Callithrix jacchus: one gene and its partners. The protein of the gene in region 1 interacts with the protein of each later gene in a pairwise test. Links are inferred from orthologs where the notes say so. Each region holds a gene or a part of one and is shown on either strand. Other genes may lie near its edges.

Region 1 (3,517 bases):
ATGACCCCACTGTTGGACCCACACACAGGGCATCAGCCGCTGTGGCTAAGCTCGCGTTGGGGCCTGAGCGCCTTCAGGAGAGCAGCTTCCCCTGGGATTCCAGGCGCATGAGGATGAGAGGGCTTGGGGCACAGGAACTGGAAGGCTCCTGGGCTGGGCCAGTGAACGAGGCACGTGAACAAGGCAGTGGCTGCATGGTGGGCCCTGCTGTGTGCTCCTTTGGGAATGGGGACACCCCCCCAACTTGCTTCGGCTTCCCACCTTTCTGCTCAGCCTGGGCTCCCGAGGGCAGGGGCCAAATCCTGCACCTGGCTGAGTCCCCTGCTCCACACAGGAAGCCCTGAGCCCTCTGCCCCTGCCCTCCAAGGGCCCTACCTTGCTGAGCCTGGCTAGCCCGAAGTCCCCGACTTTGCAGAGGGTGTTTTCCCCAACGAGGATGTTCCTGGCGGCCAGGTCGCGGTGGATGTAATTCTGCGACTCCAGGTAACACATGCCCTCGGCTACCTGCCATGCAATGTCCAGCAACTCCGAGACAGGCAGGGCTTTCTCATCAGAGTCTGCAGAGGGGGTGGAGCCTGGGGTCAGCCGAGCCCACTGGGGTGAGGACGGGGTGGAGGCCAGGCCACGTCCCATCTGCCTCCAGGCTCTGCGGGCTCAGAGGACCGGCTGGGGCAAAGGGCAGAGCTGGCCTGGTTTAAAATTAACCTCGGGCCAGCCACCACCCTCTGGAAGGCAATTGTGTATGGGGAACCAAGAAGCAGATCCTGGTTGGGGAGGTTTTCGATGGCAACGGAGAAGCTGGACACAGGAGGAGACACTCATTGCCGATTGGAGACGCTCATTGCCGAGGGATGTGCGTAGTGGGAACTCGGGAGAACGTCTGAGTGACAGCAGCGTGCGGCGTTCTGTTTCCGGAGAGCCCTGCCTGGCATGGGGACTGAGATGATCAAGCCCTCTGTGTGAGGATGAGGGTATGGAGCCTTGGCTCAGAGCTCAACTGTGAGTGGTGTGTCAGCATAGCTCTCCCCAGGCACACACAGCTTTTCCTGCCCCACCACGTCCCCTCCCATGTGACGGTCCAAAGCCAAACTGCACCTTCACGAGGGGCCTCTCTGTTCCCTGGAGCCCGTGTCTTTGGTTTTAGTGATTAAAAAAAAATAATGGAAAGAAAAAAATAAAAACAAAGAAAGAAAAATAATGGAACTTAGAGATGATGATGTCCTTGAGCCAGTGTGATTCGTGTGTCCGTGTGTGTCTGTATCTGTGTATGTGTCTCTCCATGTGTGCGTGTAGACAGGGGGATGGGCTTGCCAACGCCATCTGTGTTTGTGTGTGCATGTGTGTGCATGTCTGTGTGTGCATGTGTGTGCGTGTGTTGTGTCTGTGTGTGCGTGTTAGTATGTGTGTGCATGTTAGTGCATGTGTGCCTGTGTGTGTGCATGTGGTGCATTGTCTGTGTGCAGGCATGGGGGATGAGCTTGCCAATGCCATCTGTGTGTGTTTGTGTATGGGCATGGGGGGTGAGCTTGCCAATGCCATCTGTGTGTCTGTGTGTGCGTGTGCATGTGTGTCTGTGTCTCTGTGTCTGAATGTGTGTGTGAGTGGGGGGCTGAGCTTGCCAATGCCATCTGTGTGTGTCAGTTTGTGTGTGTGTGTGCGTATGACTGCATGTGTGTGTGTGTGTGTGTAGGCGTTGGGGGTGGGCTTGCCAATTCCATCTGTGTCTGTGTGCATGTGTGTGTGCATCGTGTGAGTGTGTGCGTGTAGAGACATGGAGGGTGGGCTTGCCGATGCCATCTGAGTCTGTGTGCATGTGTGTCTGTGTGCATGTGTGTCTGTGTGCATGTGTGTGCGTTGTCTGTGTGTGTGTGTAGGTGTGGGGGATGAGCTTGCCAGTGCCATCTGTGTGTGTCTGTGTGTGTGTCTGTGTGTGCATGTGTGTCTGAGTGTGTGTGTGTATAGGCGGGGTGGGCTTGCCAATGCCATCTGTATCTGTGTGCATGTGTGTGTAGACGTGGAGGGTGGGCTTGCCAATGCCATCTGAGTCTGTGTGTATATGTGTATCAGTGTGCACATGTGGCTGTGTGTGTGCATGTGTGTCCATGTGTGTACATTGTGTGTGTGTAGGTGTGGGGGATGAGCTTGCCAATGCCATCTGTATGTGTCTGTATATGTCTGTGTGTGTACGTGTGTGTCTGTGTGTGCGCATGTGTATCTGAGTGTGTGTGTATAGGCATGGGGGGTGGGCTTGCCAGTGCCATCTGTACGTGCATGTGTGTCTGTGTGTGTGTCTGTGTGTGCGTATGCGTATAGACATGAGGGGACATACACTTCATTTCCTCATGTGCCCCGCCTGGCGCCGGTGCCACTCACTGCGAAGCAGCTCCAGCAGGCTGCCCTTGGCCATGAGCTCGGTGATGATGTACACGGGGTCCCCCATAGATACCACAGCATACAGCGCAAGGATGTGTTTGTGCCGAAGCTTCTTCATGGCCTGGATCTCCGATTGCAGCGTCTGCTGGTGCAGGAGATTGTCTGCAGGGACAGGTGGCCTCGGTGGGTGCAGTCCCTGAACCCCCAGGCACCAAGGAAGAGGCCGAGGCCCTGCCCCCACCCACAGCAGCTGTGTAGGACACATGGACCTCCAGCCCCAGGCACCTGGCTCCTGAGGCCACGATGATGGTGATCACAGCCAGCCCTGCAGGCCCCCAGCCCGGCGCTCCCACGGGGTCATGATGGCCACTTGCTCTTACCACACAGCCCCCCCAGGCTCAGACCTCTGACATGGAGGCCAGACCTCTGCTGAGGCCCAGGTGATTTCAGGGGAAGCTTTTCAGATTTCCAGGGATCTATTTGAGTGGCTTTCCATTACATCCAGGATTTTTAATTTTCTTTTTTTTTTTTTTCTTCCCCTGAGATGGAGTCTCACACTGTCACCCAGGCTGGAGTGCAATGGCGAAATCTCAGCTCACTGCAACCTCCACCTCCTGGGTTCAACCCATTCTCCTGCCTCAGCCTCCCAAATAGCTGAGATTACAGGCATGCACCACCACGCCCAGCTAATTTTTTTGTATTTTTAGTAGAGACAGGGTTTCTTCATGTTGGTCAGGCTGGTGTCGAACTCCCTACCTCAGGTGATCCACCCGCCTCAGCCTCCCAAAGTGCTGGGATTACAGGTATGAGCCACCGCCCCCAGACAAATTTTTTTAATAATTGTATTTAGGTAAAAGCAAAGGTACATTAGAAAGGGAACTGCTCCCACACGGATGCTGTTGCTGGTCCGTGGGGCTCCAGCCTGGAGGTCCCTGGGGGCAAGAGGGCAGCCCAAGGCGGGCACGGGGCCAGGCAGAGCCCTGGCCGGGGCCCACTCACCTCGAGAAATCACCTTAATGGCCACCTGGACCCGGTCTTTCCAGAGCCCCTCGAAGACCTCCCCAAAGTAGCCAGAACCCAGCTTCCTGCAGAGCGTGAACTCCTCCCTGGGCCTCTCCCAGTAGTCCCAGTGAGGCAGAGGCTC
Region 2 (3,922 bases), on another chromosome or scaffold:
GTATCCATCCTCCTCCTCTTCCTCCTGTCTCTGACAACGCAAAGGACACTTCATGGAGCAGGAATAGTTTTCCTTTTTGATTTTATTAGAAAATAAAGTGTTTATTCAAAGAACATTAAAAGGCCAGGACCTGTGTGGGGTTGGCATGAGGGGGAGGAGTGAATCTCAGGCTCAGCCAGGCTGGGCGTGGGGCTCCTCTCCGCAGAGTCTGGGCCTCAGGGAGGCTGGGGTGGGAGGCCCCAGGGTCCCGCTGGAGGGCAGGGGGCGGTCAACCAGCACCAGGGCGCAGTGCAGAGCTGGGACAGCAGCGTCTGCGGATTCAGCAGCTCACCAGGTACATCCCTGTGGGGGCGTGGCTGTGAGGGGAAGGGGCGGGGAGGACGGGTGGGGGGCGAGGGGGGAGGGGGGAGGAGGGTACGGGAGGGGAGGGGCAGGGAGGAGGGGTGCCGGAGGGGTGCAGGGGAGGGGCATGGAGGAGGGGTGCCGGAGGGGTCCCCTGCTCCCACCCTGTGATGCTTCAATCATCCTTGTCCTCTTCAAAACACCCCCATAACTCATTGTCCCTCCTGCCACTGGGCCCCAGGAGCCCCTTGATGGGGGCAGGGTGGGGCAGGAGGAGGGGGTGGCAGGGGGACTTTGAGCTCCCTGGCTTGGGTCCTTTCTTTTTTTTTTCTTTTTTTGGAGACAGAGTTTCCCTCCAGTTGCCCAGGCTCAGTGCAATGGCCCTCGCCACAACCTCCACCTCCCCGGTTCAAGCGATTCTGACTCAGCCTCCCAAGTAGCTGGGATTACAGGCAGGTGCCACCACACCCAGCTATTTTTTTTCTATTTTTCTTTTTTTCAGTAAAGACGGGGTTTCTCCATGTTGGTCAGGCTGGTCTCAAACTCATGACCTCAGGTGATCCACCCGCCTTGGCCTCCCAAAGTGCTGGGATTACAGGCATGAGCCATCTCACCAGGCTGGCTTGGGTCCTTTCAAGGACGTCCTCCAGAGGCCAGCCCAAGACACATGGGGCCCTGACTCCTTCCCCACCTGTGGCCCCCATCTGCGGTCTCCTGGCCCCAACACCCACCTGTCCTTACCACGGATTCCACACCCCGCCCCTCCCAGCCAGCCCGGGGCTTGCTTGTCCCTAGCCAGGTCCCGGCTCCTGGGGTCCCCCGGCAGCAGGGTTGGGGAGTACCTGTGGCGAACCTCCTCTTCACCAGCGACATGCGGTACCCACTGCCCACGAGTTCCAAGTCCACGCCCGACAGGGTGGCCCCCTCGCTGGTGAACTGTGCGGCCACGGGGCTGGGTGTGCTGGGCCCCGAGAGCGGCTCCCAGCTGGCAGAGAGGCGGCCAGAGCCTGGGGAGGCCTGTGGTCAGCTGTGCCCCGGCCTCGGCCCCAGGCCCAGCTGTGAACCAGCCTGAAGCCCTTTGTTCCGAGGCCTTCATGTGCCTCATCAGATGTCCCTTCCGTCCCCTGCATCCATCTCTCCTGGCATCACTGGGCTTTGTGTGGCTGGCACGGGGGGTCCTGCCTCAGGGCTTTTGCACCTGCTGTGTCTGCCCATCTGGACTTGGGACACCCTCACCTCCACCTTTTTTTCTTTTGAAATGGAGTCTCACTCTGTTGCCTGGGCTGGAATGCAGTGGTGAGATATCTGCTCACTGCAACCTCCGCCTCCTGGGTTCAAGTGATTCTCCTGCCTCAGACTCCCAAGTAGCTGGGATTACAGGTGCCCGCCACCATGCCCAGCTAATATTTGCATTTTTAGTAGAGATGGGGTTTCACCATGTTGGCCAGGCTGGTCTTGAACTCCTGACCTCAGGCAATCCACCCGCCTTAGCCTCCCAAAGTGCTGGGATTACAGGAGTGAGCCACCACACCCGGCCTAGTTTTTTTTTTTTTTTTTAAGAGACAGGGTCTGGCTTTGTCGCCCAGGCTGAAGTGTAGTGGTGCGATGATAGGTCACTGCAGCCTCTAACTCCTGGGCTCCAGTGATCCTCCCATCTGGGCCTCCCAAAGCACTGGGATTACAGAACTGTGCCCTCCTCCAGCTTTTTTTTTTGAGACAGTCTCATTTTGTCGTCCAGGCTGGAGTGTAGTGGCACTATCTTGGCTCACTGCCACCTCTGCCTCTTGGGTTCAAGTGATCCTCCTGCCTCAGCCTCCCGTAGCTGGGATTACAGGCACCTGCCACTATGCCCAGCTAATTTTTGTATTTTGAGTAAAGACAGGATTTCACCATGCTGGCCAGGCTGATCTAGAACTCCTGACCTCAAATGATCCACCCGTCTCGGCCTCCCAAAGTGCTGGGACTACAGGCGTGAGCCACTGCGCCGGCGTTTTTTGTTGGTTGCTTTGTTTTTTAGAACACAGTCTGGCACCTGTTGCCCCGGCTAGAGTGCCTCGGTGCGATCGTGAGTTGATCGCTGCAGCCTCCAACTCCCGGGCTCAAGTGAACACTGCAGAGCACCCGCCCAGCCCTCCTCCAGCTTGCCAAAGCCTTCCTCAGTGCCCGTGTCGGAACCCCATATACCCCAATTCTACCCGAGTGCAAATAAGGGCCACCCACCTGACCGCAGTCCCTCCCCCCAGGCCCTCCCCCCAGGCCCTCAGGCACAACCAAAGCTCACCCCCTGCCTCAGACACATCTGGAAGCCTCCATGTGAGCCGCTTCTCCTCCAGGTTCCTGGCAATGAGAGAGTCTCCGTCAGGGCTTCTCCAGAGAGGATGCTGAGAGCCCCGGGTCCTAGCTCCGCTGCCTCCTGGCTGTGTGACCCCAGCAAACCTTCAACCTCTGCCTCCCAGGTTCAAGCGATTCTCCTGCCTCAGCCTCCTGAGTAGCTGGGATTACAGGAGCCCACCACCATGCCTGGCTAATTTTTGTGTTTTTAGTGGATAAGGCGTTTCACCATGTTGGCCAAGCTGGTCTCAAACTCCTGACGTCAGGCGATCCACCCGCCTCGGCCTCCCAAAGTGCTGGGATTACAGGTGTGAGCCACCGCGCCCAGCCTCCCTGCAGCACTTTTAGATGCATTCTGTCCTATAAATCTGGCTTCTTTACAACAGACACACCTTTTTTTCTTAATTTTTTTTTTTTGAGACAGAGTTTCACCCTCGTTGCCAAAGCTGGAGCACAATGGTGCGATCTCAGCTCACTGCAACCTCTGCCTCCCGGATTCAAGCGATTCTTCTGCCTCCCGGATTCAAGCGATTCTCCTGCCTCAGCATCCTGAGTAGCTGGGGTTACAGGCATGTGCCACCATGCCTGGCTAATTTTTTGTATTTTTAGTAGAAATGGGGTTTTGCCGTATTAACCAGGCTGGTCTCGAACTCCGGACCTCAGGTAATCCGCCCGCCTCGGCCTTCCAAAGTTCTGGGATTGCTGGTGAGAGCCTAATCTTTGTTTTTTAAGAGAGGGTTCTGGCCAGGCACAGTGGCTCACACCTGTAATCCCAGCACTTTGGGAGGCCTAGGTGGGCGGATCACCTGAAGTCAGGAATTCAAGACCAGCCCGACCAACATGGAGAAACCCCATCTCTACTAAAAGTACAAAATTAGCTGGGCGTGGTGGCACATGCCTATAATCCCAGCTACCTGGGAGACTGAGGCAGGAGAATCACTTGAACCTGGGAGGCGGAGGTCGCGGTGAGCTGAGATGGTGCCATTGCACTCCAGCCTGGGCAACAAGAGCGAAACTCTGTCTCAAAAAAAAAAAAAAAAAAAGAGACGGTTGTCACCCAGGCTAAGTCCCTGCAGCCTCAACTCCTGGGCTCAAGCGATCCTTCTGCCTCAGCCTCCCAAGTCGCTGAGACTACAGGAGCACACCACCAAGCCTGACTACTTTTTAAAATATTTTTTGGAAGGCGGGTGCAGTGGCTCATGCCTGTAATCCCAGTACTTTGGATTTGGGAGGCTGAGGTGGGTGGATC
Region 3 (3,517 bases), on another chromosome or scaffold:
CATGCCTGCAGTTTTCTAAACCCATTTCGCCATGTTGACACCTGTTTTCTCCAGGATCCCCCAGGGCTCAGGTGAGTGTGTAAAGGTAGCCTTTGCTCCTTGCCTGATTCCTCATCCTTTCCCAGGAGCTGCTGCTGAGCTCTGGCCATGGGCAAAGCACAGCCATCTCAAGAGCAGGAGAAATCAGGGTCTTTGCTTTGCGGGGCTGGGCAGCCCTGGGGTTGAACTTGAGGGGCCGTTGTGAGCAGGCCTGTCTGTTCTTGGGAAGTCGGCAAAGTGGAGCCTACATCGTGGCCACCTAAGAAGGGTGTGCTAATTTCTGAGGCTCTGTGTAGTCAGGGAGGTAGGGCCGCAAGCCGCTCTGCCTATGTGTGCAGCCAGTTCTAAAGCACTCCCAGAGCCAGGGCATCCCGGAGATGCCAGCGTGGCCCCTCACCCACCGTCATCTCCTCGAGTTTCACAGCACTCCATGGGGGAAGGGGTGGTCTTGGCAGGGGTTTTCTGTTCTACTCAGACAGGTGTGGGACTTGAGACCAAGCCTTCGGTTGGTAACAGAGCAGGAACAGGAGCCTAGGACTCCTGACTCCCAATCCTGGAGTTGGCCCCGCAGTGGTTTTCTCAGGGCCCAGTGACTTTGGGGGTGGGGTGGCTTCCTTCTCCACCACTTGAACCCCCAGGAACTCCTCCAGGGGGGTCACTCACAGGCTGTCCTGTGAGGATGGAGTTCGAGGGATGCCTGAAACCGTTTTCTTGTTCCTGCAGCCGTGTGGCTAGATCCTGCTTCTCTCGTCCCCAGCGTCGAGCTGAGTCCTCTAACTGCAGGCATAGATAGGAATAATTGGAGGATCATGGGCAGCAGGGCTAATCCCTGATGGCCAGGACAACCAGGGCCTAAGCCTGCTGTCCAGGCAGAATGCAAAGCTCTGGGTCATGTGGGCTTGACACCTTCCCAAGAGACCTCGGGGTGGCAGGGATGAGGGTGAGGGGGCCAGATAGTCAGGCAGCCTGACAAGACACAGATGGACATTTCAACAATATATTGAGCCCTGATCCTGAGTGCACACTGATCCCTGATTCTGGTCATAGAGAGTCTGACCCTGGTCACACACTGAGCCCTAACCCTAGTCACACACTAACCCTGACCCTGGTCACACACTGAGCCCTGACCCTGGTCACACACTAACCCTGACCCTGGTCACACACTGAGCCCTGACCCTGGTCACACACTAACCCTGACCCTGGTCTCACACTGAGCCCTGACCCTGGTCACACACTGAGCCCTGATCCTGGACACACACTGAGCCCTGATCCTGGACACACACTGAGCCCTGATCCTGGACACACACTAAACCTGACCCTGGTCACACACTGAGCCCTGACCCTGCTCACACACTAAACCTGACCCTGATCACACACTGAGCCCTGACCCTGGACACACACACACTGAACCCTGACTCTGGTCACACACTGAGCCCTGATCCTGGTCACACACTGAGCCCTGATCCTGGTCACACACTAAGCCCTGACCCTGGACACACACTGAACCCTGATCCTGGACACACACTGAGCCCTGACCCTGGACACAGACTGAACCCTCCCTGGCTTTGGTCACACACTGAACCCTGACCCCAGTTGTATCTGAGCCCTGACCCTGGTTGTACCCTGAACCCTGATCTCAGTTGCACACTGAACCCTGACCCCGTTGCACACTGAGCCCTGACCCTGGTCACACACTAAGCCTTGATCCTGGTCATAGACTGAGCTTACTGAGCCCTGGTCATAGGCTGTGTGGTGAGCCTGGTCCAGCCTCATCAACCCCTGCATCTCCCCCACCTGGCTTTCCAGGGACAGGATCCGACTCTGAGCTCGTTCCAGCTTGGCCAGGAGGTTGAACCTGTCTGAAGTCTCAGAGAGGAGATCCTGTGGGCAAAGCGGAAACTCAAGTTTGGCCCTAGCTGAGGGCTGTGGCCGGTGTGAGGTCGGGAAACTGCAAGGTATTGGGGGAGAAACCAGTCAGTTCTGAGTTCAGACTGAGCTCCCGAGGCGGGCCTTAGACCTGGGCCCAACCCTCTTCTGGAAGTTCAGAGCAGGGGTCTGGCATGTGCTTTTTTCACAGCTGTTTCCTGCACAGACTTTGGAAATATGAAGTTTTGACACAACAATATTTTAATGTAAAACGCATTTGGGAGCCTCTGGGTGAGGTGAGGAAGCTGTGAAGCAGCTGACCTCATCCCTCACACTTTACCTGGATGTCCATATGGCATGTGGGCTTTCAAACAGAACTCACCTCCAGCGAGTCCTGGGATGGAGAGAAAATTCTCCTGTGCCCCTGCCCTGTTCGATCTTCTGTGATTCCAAATGTTCTGCCTTTGGGTTTATGTAAAGTAGGGGGCACCTGAAGCAACCTCAGAGGTGGAGCAGGGCCTGGGTGTTTCTGGGCCCTGGGCCACCCACCTGTGCAGGCAGCGTCTGTGTGCACTTGGAGTGGCCTAGGCCATGCGTCTCTTGCAGCCTCTCTGCCAAGTCTCCTCCTGCTCCCAACTCCCTGGGGTCCACCTGGGATGGAAAAGGGCTCTCCAAGGCTGCACCAAGATCAGGGAATTTCTGCTCCAGAAGGGAGTTTTAAGAGGCCTGTGTAGGATCCAGGTGGAGGCCAGCCAGGTGGCAAAGGGGTCAAAGTTTGGGGGCCAAGGGTCAACAATCGGCTTGCTTTCTCCTGGGACGCTAGATGAGGATAGAAGGGAAGAGTTCGGGTATACACATTTCTCAGGAGAAAAAGAGCAAGGCCTGAGAGCTGATAGGAGTCGCTAGGCAGACTGGAGACCCTAGGAGGCCTAGCTCCTGGTCTTGATCTTCAACTTGGGTTGTACTGTGGGTGATTGCTGGGCACCCGGTGACCAGCACAGGCAGGCCCAGGCCAAGGGCTTCTTACCGGCAGGTCCTGCTGCTGCAAAATGATGGGGGCTGGCTGGTGGCGGTTCTTATCCAGCTCTGCCCGCAGCTTCGCATTTTCTGCCAGCAGCACAGAGTAAAGTTCAAGCGGCAGGTTCTCTCTCGTAGAACCGAGGGGCAGGCCAGAGGCTGAGAGCCCAGGGAAGCCTAGAGATACAGCCACCGATGTTGGGGAGATGGGCTCTCCTGCCTCCCACATCCCTGTGCTGATCTGCCCCAGCATTTTACTTCACTCTGCCACTCCTCCCCTCTGCTCCCAAGCCTTCAATGGCTCCCTACTGCCAGCTGGATCAGGTACACACAGGCTTTAGACTCTGACCCCAACGTTCTTGTTAACTCCTCATTTGTCTTGGATGTATTTCAGCTCCTCACTTCTCTCTCTTCCTCCCTTCTCTGTTCCTGGCATTCTTCTCACTCCCTGGGCCTTTGATCTGGCTGTTTCCCTCCCTAGGTTGCCTCCTCAGTTTCATCCAGACTCCTGGATGACCTCAGGCTTCCCGAAAGGCCAGCCCAACTTTCATTGCTTTCTAAAGGTCCCTAGAAACACCCTCCTGCCCCTGAAACC

The links. The genes of interacting proteins can lie anywhere in the genome.
Region 2: the proteins of PTK6 (region 1) and FCHO1 interact in binary tests that used the Homo sapiens proteins (3 or more experiments, as listed by UniProt). The two-hybrid records come from large-scale screens. The link is inferred for Callithrix jacchus from reciprocal best matches to the Homo sapiens genes PTK6 and FCHO1.
Region 3: the proteins of PTK6 (region 1) and CCDC33 interact in a two-hybrid assay, tested with the Homo sapiens proteins (2 studies listed by BioGRID and IntAct). The two-hybrid records come from large-scale screens. The link is inferred for Callithrix jacchus from reciprocal best matches to the Homo sapiens genes PTK6 and CCDC33.

The regions. Positions count from the first base shown.
Region 1 is NC_133506.1:59,026,429-59,029,945, forward strand, and holds part of PTK6 (protein-tyrosine kinase 6), read right to left. Parts: coding exon 3,373-3,517; intron 2,536-3,372; coding exon 2,374-2,535; intron 558-2,373; coding exon 376-557; intron 1-375. UniProt on the Homo sapiens protein: Non-receptor tyrosine-protein kinase implicated in the regulation of a variety of signaling pathways that control the differentiation and maintenance of normal epithelia, as well as tumor growth.
Region 2 is NC_133523.1:16,516,351-16,520,272, reverse strand, and holds the end of FCHO1 (F-BAR domain only protein 1), read right to left. Parts: intron 2,680-3,922; coding exon 2,624-2,679; intron 1,350-2,623; coding exon 976-1,349; 3' UTR 512-975; downstream 1-511. UniProt on the Homo sapiens protein: Functions in an early step of clathrin-mediated endocytosis. Has both a membrane binding/bending activity and the ability to recruit proteins essential to the formation of functional clathrin-coated pits.
Region 3 is NC_133509.1:21,176,536-21,180,052, reverse strand, and holds part of CCDC33 (coiled-coil domain-containing protein 33), read right to left. Parts: intron 3,100-3,517; coding exon 2,933-3,099; intron 2,557-2,932; coding exon of another isoform or gene 2,455-2,556; intron 1,921-2,454; coding exon 1,834-1,920; intron 817-1,833; coding exon 703-816; coding exon of another isoform or gene 619-702; exon of another isoform or gene 1-618.